3 linked regions of the Drosophila melanogaster genome follow. The protein of the gene in region 3 purifies or fractionates together with the protein of the main gene of each other region. This does not show direct contact. Each region holds a gene or a part of one and is shown on either strand. Other genes may lie near its edges.

The links.
Region 1: the proteins of dlp (region 3) and ltl purify together in Drosophila melanogaster (affinity purification with western blotting; one study listed by BioGRID). This does not show direct contact.
Region 2: the proteins of dlp (region 3) and apolpp purify together in Drosophila melanogaster (affinity purification with western blotting; one study listed by BioGRID). This does not show direct contact.

What each region holds. Positions count from the first base shown.
Region 1 is NT_037436.4:7,516,316-7,523,493, forward strand, and holds the start of ltl (larval translucida), read left to right. Parts: upstream 1-2,681; 5' UTR 2,682-3,369; coding exon 3,370-3,662; intron 3,663-7,178. Other genes in the region: CG7546 (uncharacterized protein), read left to right, coding at 1-151.
Region 2 is NC_004353.4:1,058,205-1,065,793, forward strand, and holds the start of apolpp (apolipophorin), read left to right. Parts: upstream 1-2,764; 5' UTR 2,765-2,932; intron 2,933-4,473; exon of another isoform or gene 4,474-4,715; intron 4,716-6,040; exon of another isoform or gene 6,041-6,177; intron 6,178-6,618; exon of another isoform or gene 6,619-6,818; intron 6,819-6,879; 5' UTR 6,880-6,903; coding exon 6,904-6,979; intron 6,980-7,589. Other genes in the region: Zyx (zyxin), read right to left, coding at 6-300, 897-1,147, 1,215-1,632, 2,209-2,400. UniProt on the Drosophila melanogaster protein: Constitutes the major component of lipophorin, which mediates transport for various types of lipids in hemolymph. Acts by forming lipoprotein particles that bind lipoproteins and lipids.
Region 3 is NT_037436.4:14,630,839-14,638,211, forward strand, and holds the start of dlp (dally-like), read left to right. Parts: upstream 1-1,762; 5' UTR 1,763-2,234; coding exon 2,235-2,544; intron 2,545-7,373. Other genes in the region: RecQ5 helicase, read right to left, coding at 1-980, 1,043-1,145.

The sequences.
Region 1 (7,178 bases), 7.1 Mb from region 3:
TACCGTAATCGGATCCATTGCTCACGACTCCACCATTCAGGCCGCCTACACGGATGCGGTGCGCAATAGTTTAAAAGAGCGTACCGAGCGGGATGTGGATTTTAAGACCAGCAAGTATCCGCAGATTGCCAAGTTCACCGAGCAAAAGTAGGGGGCAGATACGGAGACGGAAGCCTGGCCACCTAATGCTTCTTGTACATTTTACTTTAATAAATTGTATTTAATTTAGTTAATGGTTAAGTTCTGTTTAAATCGAGAAGACGACGAAGATTGCGACAACACCAACACACGGAGTGGACCCTTAGCAAATGCTTCAAACTATTTAGAATAATAATATCCAACTGATATTTATCCACACACACACAGAGATACACACACACAATGGGTCAAGACGCAACAGAGCCCAATCAAAAACAATTTTTGCGGTGCATGAATGAGCAAAATAAACACACATATTAACCGAAACAATGGCGATTGGAATTGGATTAAATGGACTTGGATATTAGACCACACACCGAGCGGAATGCTTTCAATTGTCCCAAATGGCGGTGGCGTCCCCGCGTCGGATGACGTGCTGCAAAATCAGAACAGACCCGTAGACCCGTGACGACAGCCAAATTCCGAATTCCAGCCAAGTATTTTGGCCGGCGCCAAATCGCCATTGACGTGAGCCGATGGCACATGATTGCTGGACGGCCGATGACGACCAATCCGGAATGTGCAGATCTATTCAAGTGGATAAGCCTTCAGCAGAAGCATTACCGGAGGCATATCCACACCATCCCATCGTACCAGCAACCCGCACCATCCCATTTCATCGTCATCGAAGTCCGAAGCCTACGCTACTCTTGTTATTGTTGTCGCCTGCAATCGAAACACGAAAATGTGTCACATAAAAATGTTGAGAATATTTATGTGCAAAAAAAATAAAATAAAAACAAAAAGAAATACCAAGAAGCCGTAAAGAAAAGAAAACATATGAATAAATAATAATTATAAATATTTGCCGCTTTTCTTTAAATATTTACTCGAGATGATTGGGCGCCAAAAATAGATTGGCTACGTAATCGAGGTATATTTTCGTACCTACAGTTATTGATTACAGTGCGGTTCAGCACTGTAACACCACAATTGGCATCTGCTAAGCTCGGCAGTTGCTGTGCTAAAGAGTTTAACATTTTAGTTTATTCCAAGCTGCCAGTTTAGATCATAATTTAAATAACTATCTGCAATTCTTAGAAAATTATTCTGCGTGCGTTCTAATAAATTTATGTTAGATATATTCATAAGAATCATGACAATTTGAAAACTATAAACAGTTTATTTAAAAAAACCTTCCAGAGATATGGACATTATTTGATAGGAAAAACTGTGGAATTCGGAAAATATGTTCATAAAAGAAGAGTTTATCCCATTTATTAACAGATCTAAAACAGGAAGTAGTTCAATTACGAGAGGAATATTATTAATTGAAACATTATTGGATTGATCGAATAAAAGCCGGTCATAAGATTTAATTTTTTAAATCCCTCTAAATGAGTGAGCCCGGCTGTATGTAATTAAGTTAATCTCTCCGACGGCCCTAAACATAACATAATCGTGCCAAGGTTCCTCGGGAGCTTGCAGTCTGCATGGAAAATGGAGATGGATGTGTTGGCTGGGCATCAGAAGTCACTCAGCCAGTGGCCGCCCCCCGATGATCCCGATGATTAATTGCAGCCAGAACTGCAGACGACGACCACGACGACGACGAGGAGGAGGAGACATCGTTGGCACGCGCAATCCGTGGAATTTGCGGAATTTGTGGCGAGCGCATTTAAGGCGCCCAGTGTTTAATTATGCATGCGGTCCCAGAACTTGGAGATAAATTAAGGCAGCGGACTTTGATGCATGGCTCCTGCTCCCGGCTCCCTGCTCTCTGTCGCCTGCTGCCTGCTGCCTGATCCCATCCCCGCCAGAGTTTTGGAATCGCTCTGGCGCCAGTGGAAAATTTTCACTTGGCCCAATCTCAATTGGGCTGCGCAGATCCTTAAACAAGCCGGTTCCATTCAAACACTGCCAACGATCCTATCAGATACGATACGTTCCGATATGATACGATCCAAAAAGTCATAATTAAAAACATAGCTTGAGAGCGAGCGAGGCGAGTGCCAGATGTGTGTCTATGTAAAAGGACAATTTGATGGGAGTGCGTAGAGCAAGAGCAGCACATATGTAAGTACCAACATGTGTCCACGATAATATAATGATGCCCCATACATAGAACTGGGTTCCGAAGAAGATCCCAGCGGCAACATGGGCAAGCAAGTAGCATGTAGCAAGTAGCAACAAACATCAGCACTCGATGGGGGCACAAACACATCGCACATCGCGATCGGGATTGAGTTGCAGATATAGATGGAGATTGATGCCTGGCGCCGACAGAACATGTAATTGAGTGTCGTGGACAATTATAGCCGCATCTCAAGTCCCCAATTGGCCAAAAAGCCGCTCGAGCATCTCGCCGGAGCGCCAAGAGATCGGAGAGAGAGTAAAACCAGCAGCAGCAGCAGCAATACATATCGCACCGCAGCAGCAACAGCGCTGCCGGCAGCAGCAACAGCAGTAGGCAGCAGCAGCAGCAGCAGCAGCAGCAGCTAGCAGCAGCACATACGAATCCTCAACGTTAGCATTTCCACTCCCAGTCGCAAAGAGACCGCCCTGCAATCTAGACGTGATCAGCAGCCCATCAATAAAAAAAAATACAATAGAGATATACTCGCGGTGTTCGACAAACAAACAGGCAAATACAAAATTTTTTAGAAGATTAATTCCGAGCATCGGCGATCTATATACAAGCGGGTCAGAAGGTCTAGCAGATAGGAGGAGGCGGAGGAGTAGCAGCTCCAGCTCTAGCTCCAGTTCTCCATATCCCAGCCGTTAAGATTCGATACGATCGATACGATCGATCGATCGACCGAACTTAACCTTAAGTGCGGTGCGCGTGTGTTATTTGAAAGATCTTTCAAAAGTAGTGACAGTGCGGCTTTGAAATCCGATGCCAGCGGTTCAGAGAATCAACGAAATCCTGCTGGAAAACCGAGCTGCCATGGAAACCCCCGCACGCACGCATATGTGCGCCTAGTGGGTAATTTCCCGAGTCTTTCGTGTTTTCCGAGCTGCCTGCTCGAACAGTTGATAATCCGCCGTCCGAGCGAATGCAACGTGTCCTGGTCTCGAGCCGGAAAACCGTGATTTGTGAACTGTGAACCGAACTGTGAACTGAGATATCGTAGATAGCGAAAAAGTGTACATATACAAATATATTATTGCTCTGGCCAAAGAATTGTGAAATCGCATTCACCGAGTGACTGAGATCACTCTACGAAAATGACTTCCCTCGTGTACACCGTCTTTCACCTGGCCTCGCTGCAATGTTCCGTGCGTCCGGAGATCTCGCCCTGCACCTGCGAAACGGGCAAAGCCTGGAATCATGTGGAGCTCTCCTGCGAGAAGTTGGAATCCTTCAACGCCGTCGTGGACAGCCTGGCCAATAAGCTCAATGCCGACACCAATATCGACCTAAAGATCACGCACTCGCAACTCGACGACCTGGAAATGCGCTCGTTTACGGATATGAACTTCAACTTGTACAAGCTACGGATGCAGTGGAACAGTCTAAAGTGAGTTGAGTCATCGATTCGGTTTGCAATTTTGGAGAGCAGGAGCCAAATAGCTCTATAAGGGGTTTCCCAGCTGTGGTGTAGATTCTATACAAATTCCTTTGCTGAATCACTAGATTTTTAGAAACTGACTAAAAAGTCGCTACTTTACATTTGCCAAGTATAGATAGATTCCATATATTGCTCACAAGAGGAACACTCCTTTTCATATAGCATACATTTATGTAAGTACAGTACAGATATATCGTTGGTAGCGTGTGCCAATTTGTGTAGATCGAGGTATAATGATGTATTGGGGAAATTTTCCTGCTATAGATTCAATCAAAATTTCTTTACTGTGGCGGGGAGTTCAAGGCCAACAGCCAAGTTCCGCAGAAAGGCAGAATTTTCCGCTCGGCCGGCTATCAATTTAGGTTCCTTAAACCCAATAAAAACCGAGAGAAAAATAATAATGCAAAATGTACACAAATTTCAATACGCTTATGTAAATGCACGAAAAAATGTGCTCCACAGATCGGTTCGGGTGGCCAGATCTTGTTTACAGCCATATACATACTACATAGATACTAAAACAATAACAATGTCGTTTGTTTACGTCAAAGAGCCCAGTGCCGCCTCATTATCTATGGCTCAATTGGGCAAATTGCGAAGGAGATGGATGGATGTGGTTGGAGATGGTGCAGTCGCATCTTAATTGCCGCCCAGATGATTTAATTTTTCAATTAGGAAGTAGCATTGAATTGCCGCTAATTCCCAACTATGGGATGTGCTGCCGTAGCTTGAGTCTCGTCGTCTTCTTCTTCTACTACATCTTCTTCTTGTTCAATTGATAACTGATAACGCTTATCACCTACGAAGTATTTATATAGGATTCCGCCTATGTACTTAGCCGTATGGCTGACTGGAGGTATACGACGTATACTTAATGCGTACACAAAATTGATAATTGCAGTTTGTTGAAGGCGTCTTTTCAACGGCGCCTGCACGTTTTCCGACTCTGACTCTCAATGAATTTCAATTCACTGTCGCATTGTGTTTTATATGTACACATATTGACAATTATAATTAATGCATATAAATAAATGCTGTCGATCCACTGATCTGCACTTGCGAATATAGAAATAACATTCGAGCCTATTTCATAAGCGCCTGTCGCGGGTTCATTGATATTTGACTCCGTTGTTTTACAGCCACGATTTTACATTCGCGATTCAAAACAAAATATGACTCAGGGGATTCTTTGTGCCCAAAGCCCCAAAAAAAATGTTTTCGAAAACTGAATTCAATCACAAGGACAAGCGTTTGTTTAATTTATCAATAGCTTCATTCAACTGTATCTTTGTGTTAGCCGAATTGAAATATCTCTTTGTTACAATCCATAGTACTAGACTCATTCATGTTTATATTCCAAAAAAAAAAAAAAAAACGCTTATCTTTATTGTTTTTGGGAATCTATTAAAAATTTAATAGCGACTGTGTGGGATGAAACTGGGTTTAGGCGTACATTCGGGAACACGTTTTAGTAATATAGCACAAATCATCGAAAGTATTTGGAGTAACAAAGTGCGAAAGCTCCACCAATCAACCGATGGCGACCTTTTAGTTCTGGGAAAATCCATTCCTTGAATCAGTTTTCTGAAATCATGGCAATTGCCCGGCGACTACCCCCACGATTAAACTATTCGATTTATCATTCTCCGAATGCAATTTGCGTGTTTGCATGGAAGTCGGCATGATTTAATTAGCCGACTTGATCGAATCAGTGTTATGCACCATCTCCCCAATCGGCGATCTCCCCCAGAATCCAGCTACCAAGCATCCAACATCCAGCATCGAGAATCCAGCGGAGAGCGCGTGCCTCTGGTGGCAATGCCTTCGATTCTGGCTGCTCGGGGAACGCTTTTTACATTGATGTCAATTTATAACAATTGACCTATTGCCTTAATATCGTGCTTTGACCAAATCATGCCAGCCAGCCAGGAAAAGTATCGCCAGCACACATGTGTGTATTCGTATGCACTGCGAGAAATTGGGCGGGCTTATCTTTCTGACAAGAAACATTTTTAATATTGGGTATACAAGTTATGCATTTTAAATACTTCAAGGGTAAAAATAATTATTATTATAATTATAAAGCCATTTCTATTAATCAGTTAAAATCATTTATTTCCTGTGTGGCGCCATCATGAAATCTCAATTTTTTTTAAATACTAATATGCATGAAATTCCCAAGAAATTTTAATTTCTGCCACTCAGCTTTTTTGGTGTTTCCAATCATCTGGGGAATTGGGGAAATCACTAAATACGGAAAATATCAGTTAGTTCGCCTTTCTCTTGGTTATCAAACGTTGAATCCCATTGCACTGATAGATCTCGTCCAAGTACACATTTCTATATCATGCTAGCCGAAATGTAGACCACAGCTGAAAGCAATATGTGATAAGAGCTTCTGTTTATTTGATTTCTTTTTTGTATTACTATTAAATATGTTTAATGGCTGGCGCCAAATTATAATCAAGTCGAATTTACGATCACTTTTTACGATTGCCCACAATCAGTGAGCACTTGAGTGAAGTGTGGGCAACTATTGAATGGACATAAGGACATCTGGGGGCTGGGATCGTCCAGATGTTATGTATTATGTGGCCTTTTCGGACGGATTGATGTCTTTGGTCTTTGGTGCGTTGTCAGGCGATAAGATGGTCTCATGCTCGGGGACCACTATATGTGCATTATGTGTTCAATCACTCGCACAATTGTTTGATCGCATATTATAACCAGCATTATCGGCATGCAGTCACAGCCCTGAGTAAGTGCGAAAAATGTTGACGGCTTCATTCGCTGGCTGGCTGACAATTAATTATGATAACTACTCGTACATAATTTATTGGGTGTTCCATGGAATATTTCCAGCCGATCTGTCTGGGCCCAAAAAGAGATAATGTTTCCGATGGAAACGGATTTACTATAAGTTACTCAATCGCTGCAGGAAGCATAGTAAACAATAACATAGCTTCAATGTTCAATAGACCAAATGCTGCTAGTACTCTAAAATGGAATGTTTCCAACTTGTTTTTGTTTTCGATTTCGGGGTATAAGTATATACTACATATATATGCTATACTATTGGGTGCTCTCTCCGTGTTCCGTGGTCTTTGGTCCGGGGTCAGTCAAGAGCGAAGCAGGCAGTCCAATTGAATTTTATTATTACGCTCAATCAATGATCAAGGGGCCAGTTTAGGTCGTGTGACAATTATACCGCTGACGTTAAGGAATTGTGGATACATCTCTGCACGATCGCACATACCAGTCATCCATCCATCCATCCATCCATCCATCTATCTATCTATCTCGATATCTATGTGCTCAAGTTCAACGGGCTCATTATGGATACAGTATCTCAGTATCTCTGCGTAGAGCGTCCATCTCGGCCAGCTTCACTCATTACATAATCAAGGCTTGACAAGCGCAGCTCGCAGATAAAGTAGCACTCCTCCTTCTCTTTGGAGCCGGCAA
Region 2 (7,589 bases), on a different chromosome or scaffold from region 3:
CTTACCGTAGTTTTCCAATTCTTGAACCGGTTCGGTGGGTATTGAAATGTAATTTTTTAGACCTTCCTTATCATTTCTATGGATGCTGTTCACGTCATAAAATGTAGTTCTAGCATTACCATGTATGTATAGTGTTTGGTTAGCTTCAATCGAATTCGAAATATTGTATTCATGGGAAATGTTTGGATTATTATCATTAACGTATGAATTATGCAGATTATAACTTTCACGAGGCAGCGTATCTGCAACACAGGGTCGAGGGTTTATAGGTTCATATATTGAATCATATGTAGAAGAGCTCTGAAAATTAAAAAATTATGAATTATATAAATTATTATTATAAAATGCAAACAAAATTTTGTTCCAAATATACAATTAATACATCATTTGGAAGTTATAATCGTAAAAAGGAATAAAAGATTCGGTGAAAAGTATGTAACATGTATATATGAAGAATCGATTTCGATCGTATATATTTTTTTGTTGCAAAGGAACACTAGCCGAGTCTATCTGCCCATGCACGTATGCCCACTCTGATTTTGGGAACAATATAGGCAATAAAACCTGCCGGACTAGCGAATGAAATAGATGCATTTGTACATCATAATCCACAAAATGTTGTTAATCCATCTATTTAACGTTTAAAGTTCTTTCTAAATGTGGAAATAGTTATTGTTTATTGTTTTTTTTTTTTTAATAAATGTATATACATTAACATATTTCAAGTTAACTAAAAGTTCAATGGAAAAAACTGCCTACGTTCGTAAGTCATTTAATTATTCTTCAGCTTTGCTGATTGCATATCTTAATTTTTGTCGTGCACTTCTATTAGATGAATAAGATTGTTTATCAGACAGAAATATACTCCAGAGTAATGAACTTCAGATTTTGTGTACCTTGCCTGTGGCATCATGCTGCATCGCATATTGGTTTGCATATATTTGTAAAGGATTCGTTGTCTGGTTATTTTGTAAATAATCAATTGGTTTGTTGAATTCCAAAGTGGCGTGACGAAGCTCACTGTATGAAGAACTCACAGCGCTCTCTGGACTAGGTGGTGGCGGTAACTCATCTTTTTCGTTGTCTGAAATAAAATTAGTGCAGACGGATAGCATCTTTTGCGTTGAGCTATGAGAAGAGTCCATTGCTTTGACATTTAAATTATTTTATAATTAATACTATACAATTTTTATATAAGCATTACATAAACATACCAGTTTCATTAACGTTTGAATATGTACTCGCAGAAATCTTAGTTTCGTCTGTTAATAGTTCTAATGTTTCTATTTCTTTGCGAACAGAACCTAAATTAGAATATATTAAGCTTTTGCTTAAAGTCTTTGAAAGGGGCTTTGTAAAGCTGTTGAGAGGTTGTGTTGGCTTAGCTTGTACTCCCAAAAGACCCTTTTTTTCCATTTGAAGTTTATGGTAAGCAAGAGCTTCTAATTGCTGTTCCAAAATTGCCGGATTATCTAAAGTTGTTTTTCTGTTTATTTGAGTATCAGCAACTCCGAATTCAGAGCTGAGGTATTTTCTAAAAGGCATATGCCCCCTCATTGTTTTCTCGACTCCAATCAGAGGTTGTGAATATAGTGGTTCCCGCGAACACAAAACCTGTCTGCTTGATGGAACCTGAAATAAATAAATATTTATGCTTAAGTATACGTTATTATACACAGTTTTTCAGAATAATAACTTTTTATAATACAGGGTATAATAAGGGTATTATAAATAAAAACTAAGATGTGACATGCAGATTTTAATGACTTTGTACGCTGTGCAAAGTTCTAAATATTGCCACAGTTTGCACAGTTTGGTTTTTACCGAAGTGAAAAAGGCATGCGATAGATATTTAGGTACTGGTACAGTTAAGAATATCCCCTAAATTTACATATGTATACTTAAAACAATATTTACTTAAAAATTGATTATGTTTTTTTTAATGAATTGCTCCTGATATGTCGTGTAACAATCCATTAGTCTGTACTTGTTTTTGATTTCTGTCATCTGAATGGTAGCAAATGTTCGCTCACAGTCCAGCCGATCAATAATATATAAGTATATTACATATGCTTTTGTAGAGGGACGGAAATACCCTCTAAAACGGTACAATAACGGACTTTAAGGCTTAAAGAACAAGCCTTTGAGGAGAATCAATGAATTGCTTTGTATATAACACAAACTGGCTATACTAAAGTATGTATGTACCTGAGGCATTTCATTATATTTTATCGGCGGCTTAGGAGGTATATCCAATCTCCTCTTTACTGATGCATTTTGATTATTACTTATCTTGGCGACTAGCTTCGCAACTTTTCCATGTCCAATACATACAAGCGGTGAGCCTGTGTCACCTTTTGGAAGCGACAGCTCTCTAAGTTGCTGGGCCACAGACTCCATTGAAATTTAACAAAACGCGATTCCGTTTTCCTACAACAATAATAAAAACCTTTTTCTAATTTAAATTAAATCAAACATTCAAAGTCGTGAAATTTTAATTTAATATTTTCACTCCTTAACATTAATGAAATTACACCTGTAATGATGATAGTTTGGTTTGTTTTTAACCTGCATATAATTTTACTATATGTATAAAACAATTATTTTTATAAAATTATTGACATTTCAATACTAAGTGGAAATAAAACTATCGCTTATCGAATTTATGAGGCCCAGCAGTGTGACCTTAACACGAGAGCTAGAAAATCATTCTAGGCGCATAGGCTCGTATTCGAACTTATTAAATATGTAGTACTCACTTCGTACAATCGCTTTATATCTCGAAAGCTAATAAGACCATAGACACACTTAAGCGAGATATTGAAGCTAAATCCATATAAAACATATATATGTAGTTTTGCCTAAACGGCACCTTGGCAATCAAAGAAAATAATCCTAATCTGATTATAGGCGGACTATAAGTCAATGTAAGGTATTGAGAGAACTAATTGTTTGATTGAGACTACTTTAGTACGATAGAATAAATGAATAGAGTGTGAACAAATTCATGCCAAAGGACTTTAATTATTACATAAACATTAAACCGTGCGTTGAAACAATATTGTTATGTATTTTTATTTATAAATCTTAAAATATCAACGAAAAATTCGCCAAAAACATCGATGTCCACCAACATCGATGTTTCTCCACCTCTAACCTAAGTCCTAGAATCGAACTAATCCCAAGTGGGTAACGTGTACATTTTGTTTATTTTAGCAGGTATAGTCACTCCAACGAACAATCGGACACGTGCACTCTTATATAAGATGTGTCTCAAAGTGTCAGTCTGTATGACCTTCCCTGTAAGCGTATAGATCTCAGGAACTATAAGCTAAAAAGTTAAGATTAAGAATGCGTACTGCAGAGACATACGCGCAGAGCCAGTTTGCTTTCATGCCCGCTCTAACGCAGATGTACAAACCGCACAAAATTGCTACACCCATACCTTTCAAAAATATTTGTTTTTTTTATTATATATTTTTCTAATTTCTATCGGTTAACCAATAACATTTTGGCCACGCCCCACAAACCCTCCGAAAACTCCCACGCCCACACACTTTTGAGGAATAATTTTATTTGCATGGATTATATAATTTATTTTGCCTAGCGATGTACCCCAACGCCACCTTTCCAATCCGTCACGAATACATTTATGATATATTTCGATTTATTTATTAATATTTTTTTTTTTAATTTTTTATCGAAATGCCGATAAATAAGGAAATATTTTGCTCTTCCGTTTGTCGAGTAAGGGATATCTGACTGTCGGGGAACTTGACTATAGCTGTCACTGGAAAACTTTATGGGAAAGTTTCATTCAGGGATAATTAGTGAGACAAGTTTGTGTAGAAGCGAACGGATGGCAAAACAGACGATGAACGGCGATATCGACTCCACCGCTTTCCAGAAACTGATCAATAATTGATAAACCCCTGAACAAATTTTTAACTCAAATTTTTATAATATTTCCTTTGGGCCCAAACAAAACAAATGGCTGTCATGTAGGTGGCTTCCGATAAATTCGCTCACTCGACCACTGTTATTAAAAATATTTATAAGTTAACTTTATGAAATAAATCTCGTTTCAACATCATCCGAAATTGCATTTTTGTTCTTCTCCCAGACAAAGGAATTTTAAAATAAATTAAATCTGGTGCGGCTCTTTCAATTTATTTTTTCGTGATATTTGGTTCAGCTAATTTGCTAATAAATGTAAATGTAAATGCGAAGTCATATTACTTCATATTCAAGAAGAAAATTCTGTTCTCTTCTTATCTTCATGTAAGAAATTCACATTAAATACCGTGGAGGTCTGAATATAAATATTAATTTCATTGAATAAAGTTCCTCGTTAATATAAAAATGATTGCAAACCACAGTTGCTTGTAAATAAGTACCATAACGATATCCATATTTTTGAACACCACACCCAATCGTCTAATTGTTTGGCCCAATCGAAGCGAAATTAAGCTCGGTGGAGGAGTATTGTAAAGGATAGGGGAATGACCGATTTCTAAGGAGCCACATAATTAGGAGCCAAAATAATTATTAATTAATCAAATACCTTTTTAGTCAAGTGGTATAAAAACCCTAAATATGGGAAATCTATCATGAAAGGTGCACTTTTAAAAGGAAGCTGACTTGGAATCACTTCACATATGTACGGCCATAGAGCTCAATTCATCAGCGGAATCTTTTCAGAAAATGTGGGCACGGTAATCTAACTTTTTAATGGTTAAAGAAAAAAGATTTAAATGGTTGTAATCAGACAATCGTAACTGACATCCTATTCTACGCTTCTAAACAGTGGTCTCCTGCTGTCACAACGCACTATTAGTGATCATCTTCAAAGCGTGGACTTCCGTTTACGATGATTTATTTACTAACCGGGAACAATACAAGAGTAAACTTCTTTCGAACTGTAATTTTTTCTGTCCGATCACGCAGGCTGCCTTTCTGCGTGCTTATCGAGCAGCGTTTTGCTTTCCAGCAACTTTTAATTACAGATTAAAGTTTCTTATCAGTCGTTAACTGCAATTCAGGAACGAACTTTCATATAAACATATTTTATACATCTGTTCAAAATCAAATAAATATACATGTGTAAATATGTGTATGCATATTTTAAATACCTATGTACCTATGCTTGCATTTGTAAGCATACTTTCATCTATATGAAAAAAGGGCATAAAAATGTATAACAAATTCCATTACAGATGTGTGCAAACATGGATTGCAAGTGACAATCTCTGCAAATGCATATATGTATGTATGTATGTGTGTACTTGCGCATTCACATTAAATTTGGAATGATAACAATTGTTACATCGAATTTCTCAATACCTATACATAAAACATAATTGCTTTAGAGTTACAACTAGTTTTCTTATTTGCACATACAGTTTGTCAAGAAACTGTTTACACACTGTGAAATAAGTTGAATTTTTGACTTTAAAGGTAAAAACTAAGGGTTCTTTGCTTAAATTAAACGCAATTTTTTTCTAAAATATAATTAATCAATATTTATTTTACTTATGAATCAAAAAACGAATTAAAAATATTAATTATACAAGAAAATAAACAACAAATTCCAAGTTTACACACTTTTGAGACTGTCAAGTATATAAATATCAGTTTTCAACATTTATAATCACAATTATACTTTGCATTTCTTACAGTTTTCAACACCTTTAAGAGGAAAACGTAATTTGCGATTTGTTTATTACTTTATTAGCCCAAAGCCATATTTAAAATATTGAAAAGGTAGATGAAAGGATTTTGTACTACTAAAGTAATAGAGTGATTCGAACAATATTTGCTTTTAAGTTACATTTTTAATGGAGACTGTGGGTGGTTTTGGTAACATATGGCTTGCCAGAAAATGCGGTGAAGTGTAAATTAAAATGCTTAATTGGGTATAATAGGTCTGGTAGGATGGCCAGAAGGGGGTGGTCACCCAAAACAACCAAGTTTAGAAGCAAGCATAAACGACCCTGTAAAGTATATATATATATATATAAACTTGAGCAGGATTTCTTACCAAATCGATCTGGGCATGTCCGTCCGTGCCCACACTTTTGAAAAATGTTTGATATTTTGCATTTTTGTTATCAGTCAGATTTATCAATCAGATTTTACAATCTACCGATTTTTACGTCGCTCACTGTCACGCCCACACTTAAAAAAAATTTTGTGATTTTTTTTCATGTTATTATTTTTCTGGTCATTTTCCACTGGTATATCGAGAAAATGTAGGTGAAAGACGGGAAATGGTACTATAGCGTCTACATTTTCTATATATTCTATATTTTATATCAGCCATTGTAAGTTGAGCACGTATTATGCAAAGCGATATATTTTTATTTAATTATATCTATATTTAATTATTCTTTATTTTATTTTTGTCTTATGTATTAGATGAAAATTGAGAGTAGGTAAAGGTACTAAGCTAGGGTCGAGTATGTCGAAGTCCGATTATAATGAGATTATATTAAATACACTCGGCTTTGGCCTGAGCACCCATCGCTGGTGATAAAGAATCGTTTAAATGCATGTCTCTCACAATGTGTCTTCATCTGTACTTGTTTCGCTGTATTTGTATTTATTTACAAGACATACACTTAAATACTATGTGGCACAATTGTAGATGTGTGAGTTCTTGATTTATTTGAGGTATTTAAAGTGAGTGTTTTCACGTAATCCGGCTTAATTCGTAGACAACGTTCATTGTATTCGAATCGGTTTAATTCGCGGATGGTCTGTGTGTTTCTTAATCTAAGAAGTATATACAAAGTGAAATTGGACCAGTGTTGGTAAAGGTAAAAAATACATGTAGTAAAATAAAAATGTGATACAAATTGTGGCGTTTGCTATTCCCAGGCTATCCCTAAGGGGCCCAGCGTAATGGCCAGGATGAAATACAATATCGCTTTGATTGGAATCCTAGCTTCTGTGCTTTTAACAATTGCTGTAAATGCTGGTAAGTGCTACAAGTTAAGCTAACCATAAATTATTGAAATCTTGATTTTTATCGAATGATATAGATTATGTAAACTAAATCAAAAATAAATGAGCCGATCGTGTAAAAACATGGTTTAACTACTTAAATCTCTTACAGGAGATTTAATTATGAATGATTTTCTCTACTTTACAAAATTACACTTTTTATATTATATTGACTATAATACTATAAAATTTATTAGAATACAAAACTTCAAATTTGCTCCAAAAAAGTCAAAGTTATAAGGATTTGGAATATTCAAAAAAAAAAAAAAAAAATCAAAGTTTGACAAATGCTGTTTTTGCCAGTTAAACCGCAATGTCCAACTGGATTCTTTTTCAGTAAATTGTTAAAAACGGATAGCAAGAGAAATTCTTTTGCCAATAGCTCCGTTAAAAAATCATATATTTCATAAAAATCGTTTGAGTCCCATCAATCAAAACATATAAAATTAGAGGACATTGCACCTTTAAAACTCAAAATCATTGATAACGATTTATAGACCTTATAGATGGTTCAGGTAAATACATAAGTGGTAAAGGGGGAACCCAAATTTTAAAATTCTTTCTGGTGATACTAATATTTATTT
Region 3 (7,373 bases):
TCCGTAGTATAATCTACAATATGACTGCAAGCCATCGCGTCCAGCGCGACCAGATTCTTGATAATAAGCAGCCACATTTTGGGGTACATCCCAGTGGATAACGAAGCGCACACTTGGTTTGTCCACACCCATTCCAAAACTATTGGTTGCACATATAATGGGCTGATCACCCCGCATCCACGCTTCCTGGACTTCAGTACGTTCTCCTGTTTTCAGACCAGCGTGATAGGCTACTGCTCCGATTCCCTGTTTAGTTACCCCTATCGCCATGCGCTCCACTTGGTCTCGAGTCCGGCAATATACGATTCCGCAGCCTCTTTGTGGCTTGGGTGTATCCTTAAACTCCTTCGGATTGCCCAAGCAGTGTCTGGCGAAATCTGCCAGGTGCTGAAAGTCATCTTCGATAGAATTCTTGTAAACAATGTCATAGAAGAGGTTTTTCCTGAAGCTAGGAGTGCTAAATTGAGCCACGGGTTGGTGGAGGCGCAACTGCTTATATATATCCTCCTTGACTTCCCTTGAAGCTGTGGCAGTCAAAGCCAACCAGATGACGTCGGAATATTTGGAACGCAGCTCCCCCAGCTTTAGATAGTCCGGTCGAAAGTCATGTCCCCATTGGCTAACACAATGCGCCTCGTCGACTGCAAAGTAGGCAAGCTTATTGTGTTTATGGAGGGTTTGCAGCAGGTCTTGAAAAAACTTGGTGGCGGCCTGTTCCGGGGTTATGTAGAGAAACTTCAGGTTGGTTCTCACGGCCTTTAAGTCCATTATAACACGATCCCTTTCTTTGGTGCTCATCTTGGAGTTCAAAGAATCCGCCGGCACTTTCAGTTTGGTTAAATGATCTATCTGATCTTTAATCAAAGCCAAAAGCGGAGAAAAAACAATGGTTATTTGATTCTCTGACATCAAACCAGGCAATTGGAAGCACAGGGATTTACCCGAGCCCGTGGGCATCGACACATACACATCCTGCTTTTCTGTAAGAGAATTACGAGAGGTATTATCTGCGAGATTGGGTAAGAATTTGGCCAATATTCACTTTTAACAGCGCACTTCACGGCTTTTTCCTGTAGATCCGATTTGAATTTCGAGTGGCCAAAATGCTTTTTCAGCGCCTCGTGCACAGCGCTTTCATGCGCCATACTTGGGCTGTTATTTAAATTGCGTTTTATTTAAATAAACATTGTTTTGCTTCAGACCAAAACTGGTTGCCGCCAAAACAGCTGGTTTAGAGATGAACAATGCGGCTAGATAGTGGCTTTCGATAGTGTGGACCTTCCTTTATCGATGTCACATATTTCGAATAAATTTAGATGTCCACACTATTTGTTTTGTACACAAAATATTTTAAATGTGATTAAATAGGCATTCATCTCGCCTATAAGCGCGACATGGAAGTTTTACTTTTTGTGATTAAATTATTCAAAAACCATTTAGCTTACCAACCAATTAATAAATATACAGTCGTGTGTTTGCAAACAAAAAAAATTTATGGTATGTATAATTGTATATGTATAATAATTTATATGTATGTATGTATTAACAGGACCAATCTATTTCTTGTAAAACTTTCGTTATTTTATTTTTAAATTTCACAACTTTCTAACAAACGTTTCCCAGAATGGAATTCTCATAGCCTAGTGACACTGTACATACCTAAAAACGGTGTAAGGCGATAGACATCGATAGCCGCGGTCACCAATCGATAAGCGCAGGCTGAAAAGAATCGACGGTAAGCAGTCGAAATTCAAAGAGACTTCTCAGTCAAAATTTTATAGCCGACTCGCGAGCACGCGCTGTGCTGCTTCTTCCTGCGTTGCGCGCTTTGCTTTCAATTCGCCTTTCGTCGTCGCGGGTGCGTGTGTGTTGGAGCGAGTGCGTCTATGTGCAGTGCGTGTGCCGCTATTTGTTAATTGTTAATAATCCCGATTTAATAACACCCGACAACCATGTTGCACTTCAATTGCTTCTGAACGCAAAATGCGCACTGATAAACGCAAACGACAAAAATAAGTTTCATAATAATAATAATGCCGGCAAACAAAGCGGTGTATTAGTGTGCGTATTTCAGTGTGGGTGCCTGCGTTTGCCAAAATTATTTACCGCAAAAAGAACAAACACAGTCAAAACGATTTGAATCCCAATCGAAACTAAACGACAACAAACGCCGGTGAAATTAGCCCTGTCTCTCGCTCTCTCTTTCCCCTTAAAATAAAGAAAGAGTTATCAAAATGCTACATCAGCAGCAACAACAACAACATCTGCATTGCAGAAGAAAAGCTACAGCAACAACAACTGCCCGCCTTGTGATATTCAGCAGTCCTCTTCTACTATTACTACTCACCACCCACTTGCCGCCCACCTTACAAGCGGACAATGGCCCCGCCCCCCAAGTGGCCGCCCTTGCCGCCCCCAATCCGGCGGGTGGCGTAGCAGGGTCTTCGATCATCGATCAATTCAGTCCGAATTGCAGTGCTGTGACACACATTTTCCAAGCGAGAGGAATCGATGCCATCGAAATTCCCCAAAAACCCAGTAACGGTATGTCCGATATTATATACCAATGGCTTAATAAATACCTGTCGAGAAATATTTATTATTGTAAATATTTAAATTTTAAACAAAGTTATAATTACTTCTTGTGGGTGAAATGTTCAGATCATAAAAATTTTTTTTTAATTTTGAAATACGCTTTAAGTGAAGGATATTAAAAAAAAAACTTAAAGATATTTTCAAGAACTCTGGTACTTTAGTAGGCTTATTATAACTTATTGCCTTCCCATATGGTGTCATTCAAATAGTACAAATTTTAATTTGTAGCGATGTTTAAAGTGCGAAATGGTTGAGGTAGTGCCATTCTTAATGCAAAAAAGATAAGAAAATCCATATCGTGGCAATCAGATCTTTTAAAATGTATACTTACATTGATATATGTAGTATGGAAAAGTATGGTTAGTATGGAAAAATGGACTATAATCTTTAATAAAGTTATTTAATAAGCTTAAAGACCATATTATTTATCCAATGGAATTAAAAACTCAAAGCAACTAATATTGGTATTACCCGAAAAAGAATCCGTATATTTCATAACAATAGTAAATTGCCGGAGATAAGAAACAAGTTTGATTCGCAAAGGAACAAAGAGAACTCGTGTATAAATTGGACGATTCCGTGATTCATTCTGTTCCTTCAACGCGCCTGCAGAGCTCCCTCCACTCCCTCCGCCCCCTGAAGGAAATAAAATTCCAGGCAAATCAACTCGAAATGCGAATAAGCAGCAGCACAAGACAGGCTCTAAATAAGAGAGAGTCCGTCGCGGAGAGCGTGTCCATCCCAGAGATCTTGGCGCATGCGTCGCCTGCTCATCGCAGCCCCCATTTCTGCCCCCGGTCCATTCCTACCCAGTGGGGGCAAAGGGTTCCAGTTTCCAAGACCAGTCCAATAGGCAGGAGCAGCCGCAGCGAAAAATCTCAAGAAATTCCTTTTTGATGAACAAAAAAAGGAAATAAAATGAGAAGAGCGCGGGCATACAGTAGAGCATCGTTGGCGTGAACTGCGTGAATTACCTTTTATATGTTTATGGGATATGCTATAAGAGTTATTTAAAACTGTTAAGGATTTCTTAATTATTTCTATTTTGAGATGCCATGTTTTACAAAGTTTACGAATCTTTTAAAGATATTGGACTGTGGAACCCATTTACAGGCTCTTTACCTAGTGCAAGAGCAAAAATGTTGTCACACCGCTTTTACACATAGTTTAATGGGGTATAAGGGGTGGAGAGGGGTAGACCTAGCCTCGACCTCGATCGCCTGTGGGTTTTACTTAATTTGTATAAATCCTGAATTAATCACGCTTAATTGCAATAAGTTGCGCTGCCCTCTCTTCGTCGCCTTCAGTTTCTCTCCCTCTCTCTCTGTCTCTCTTTGTTTGATTTGTTGCCAGGTAAACTGTTGCAGCCTCTGCCCTTTTGCCCCACCCCATACCCCTGTTCCAGTCCATACCCCTGCCCCTCCTTTAGTCCTCTACCTGCGCCCTGCCTTTGTTTATTTTTGGTTTTCAACGTTGCCTGATTGGTTTTTTTTCCCTCCCGATATGTTTTCCTTATTTTTTATCTTTTGGTCAAATGCATTGCGCGTTGCGTTGCGTTTCGTTCATAATTTCATGGAAATGTCTGTGGGGGAGGGGGGCGATGAGGGGCCAACAGGTAGAGTGGTCAGTTCTCGAGTTCCCTTTTGTGTTGTCTTTGATATTAATCAAGGTGTCATTGAAATCGTTTAAATTATGCAGTTCAGGATTTTTATTCTCTGTCGGCATTTTTATGTGAACCTTTTACTTCCCGATCAACTCGAACCCCCGTCCCTTGGCCATCAAAAAACGAATGCACTCGAATTATTAAAGCTAATCCGTAAATAATATTTTAATAAGTTTTTCTGGTCCAGTAGGATTGCAATCAATAAATAATTCAATTTATGTTGACGTATTAACATTTTATTCATGTTCATGTGATTGTTATTCAGTGCTTTTCAAACAATAAAACAATTAAATATTTAAATGGAAAATTATTTATAATAGGACAAATTTTAATAACAGATTTCTTAAATTTATGCTAAGCTAAAATGCCATTATTCTTTACATTTAATTTTTCCCAGTGCACAGCTTCTCTTTCCACCGTGTGAGTCATAAATTCTTGTGTTGCGTCCTCTCTTCTCGTTCGCTTCTTTCCATTCCCTTTCCATTCACCTGACCCCCACCCTTCGCGCCTTGTCCGCCTGATAAGCGCCAGCATTTAGATAAAGTTTCCGACCTGTTCTTTTCCCATGCCTTCTCGAATTGCTTAACTGGGAACTACTTTTGCGATAGGTGTTTATAGGGTCTTCTGGATGGAGTTTCGTGGTTTTGTAGGCCAGCTAACTGGTGAGGCTGTGCGTCTGATAAAGCTAAACTTCCATTTGCGATAGGTGAACTAGTTTATGAAACGTAGACTTTTTGGGGCCAACATATTGTCGTAGGGAAGTTCTTCAAATTGACTAAGGTTGGTCTTCGTTGAATATATATATAAAGTAGCTAGTTAGATAGTTTGATTTTAATATATAATTATGTCATTTAAATACTGTAAATGCTGTAAAAACCCAAGACCATATTTGCCAAGCAAAAATTTCGTACATATATTTAAGGTAAAATTTTGAACAGTCACGTCTAAGTGTTTTTGGCCAATTTCCCAGCGCTCTCATCTTCACACTTCAGGCGCATTCCTTTCCATTGAACCATGAAGAGCAACAAACATTGGGCAACAACAACTGCATGACACCTTCCGTGCTGCACAAACAACAACCATGGCAAACAACAACTACAGCTGCCACTTAAACGCTTCATTAAAGCTGCACTTCCTGTGCCACATCAAAAAGCTGTGCGAACCCACTTTAACCCCAACCCCCTTGACCATCGTCCCCGGCTCGCCATCATCATCAGTGGTAGGCAGGCACTTAGCTGAAATTGTTTGCACAATTTAAACAGTTCGCAAAACATTAAATCGTTAAAAATAATATCAGAGGAGCGGGCAAGAGAGACTCGATGCAGAGGGAAGATTGGCTTTGTAGATCGCAACTTAAAATACCCTTAAATTGTGATTTTCATAAAAAGTTATCGATAGTTTCAATACTTATTCTATAGTTTGTTTAATAAAGTGAACGTAAAAGGCATTTTCTTCTACAAAAATTTGAAATTTTATCATCAAGATTCTTAATTTTCTTAAATAATACTACCAAATCCTTGGTACAACCCTTCTGTAAGGTATTGAATACTCTTTCGAGCCAACCAACAAATTTCCCACACAGAAACGATCACCTTGCTTCCTCCTATTCTGCATCTCTCTCCCATCCATTATCCATCTTTGTCTGCCTTATGCCAAAAGAAATTTGCAACAGAGCTGATTTTAGTTTACTGCGCACAGCAGCAGTGCTTTCACTCACTGAAAAAAAAACATATTTATAGTTTGATTTAAAAAATTTGAATATATTGTTAACTGTACATTTTTCATTTTAGGCCCCTCAATAATTTTGGGAATACAATTAACTATTCTAACATCACTTTAATGTGCATAATATACGAATCACCGAATCTTCATTAACTTTATTTCCGTGTACGGTTGCTCCACTTCGATGGCGTCTCCACTGGCTGCACTGCATCCGCCGACTGCCCCTGACCGCCCCCTCATCCCGCCTGCTTCAAGGCAACCACCGCATGACTATTAATCATTTTCCAGCAACCAAAACTGAATGGCCCCATCTTGTTCTCTCTGTTTCTCTCTTACTCGCTCTTTGGGCCCTTTTCTTTAATTTTTTTTTTTGTATTTTTTTGCACTGTCGCATTCCTTGGCCGTGTAAAAGGAAGAAACTAAGCGAGCGGTTTATATGGCACTATATCATCATCATCTTCATCGGCGTCGTCGGCGTGTGATCATCTGATATATACTTCTGCAATTGTTGACCATTGTATGGAGGAGGTTTGGGTTCGGGTTTCGATTGGAATGCAGATTAGATAGGGCGGGGTATATAAACGAGTAGGAGTTGCTGTCTGGTGTTTGTTTATGAGGTCATTGAGGGGATAAATGGTGCGTTTATCACGGGGGCTTTTCGCATATTGGAACTTGGCTTTGGGTATATAAAATCTAAAACTTATGAAGCTTTTTTAATATGATTAGCAAACAAGCATTAACGAGCGATCACAAAGTTTGAGCGCCACTGACAACCCACTAAACTAGATCACCTAACATCTGGTAAACCGAAAGCTTGCCAAGAGGCACCACTTAAAAAACGCGATCATGATCGATAGCAAACTCTTTCACGCGATCTCGCCCCCTAATATGCCATTACAATTACTCAGTTCCTAGGGGCTACTCTTAGCCATCGAGAGATCATCTCAATTGCTTGGCGATCTCAAAAACCAGCTGGTGCTATCTGATCCAGTGATCGGTGCTGGGATTCCAGACATTTTGCCCACAAAGTCAACACTTGCTGAGATATCTCGCACTAAAGATCGGAGATCTGGGCAATTTCGCGTAATTAGCTGACGATGCTGACAGAAATGGGATCTCCCAGCCGGCAGCCACTGCTGTGACAACAAAAGCCAAAAGAATCGTCAGCAAATTTTCTAAGAATGAATCCTGTGGATCGCGGATGATTCAAGTTGGATTCGAGTAAGGGATAAAATGAAAACGAAACCGGGGCGGAGTGAACGATCGTGGCTGGGCCAACGACTTAATTGCCGGCAAGTGTCGGTGGAGGATACCAAAAATAGGTAGAGAAGAGAATCCCAGACTCTCGGCCAGACTTCCAACATTCCCAGTCATCTCGAGCAGGTCAAACGTG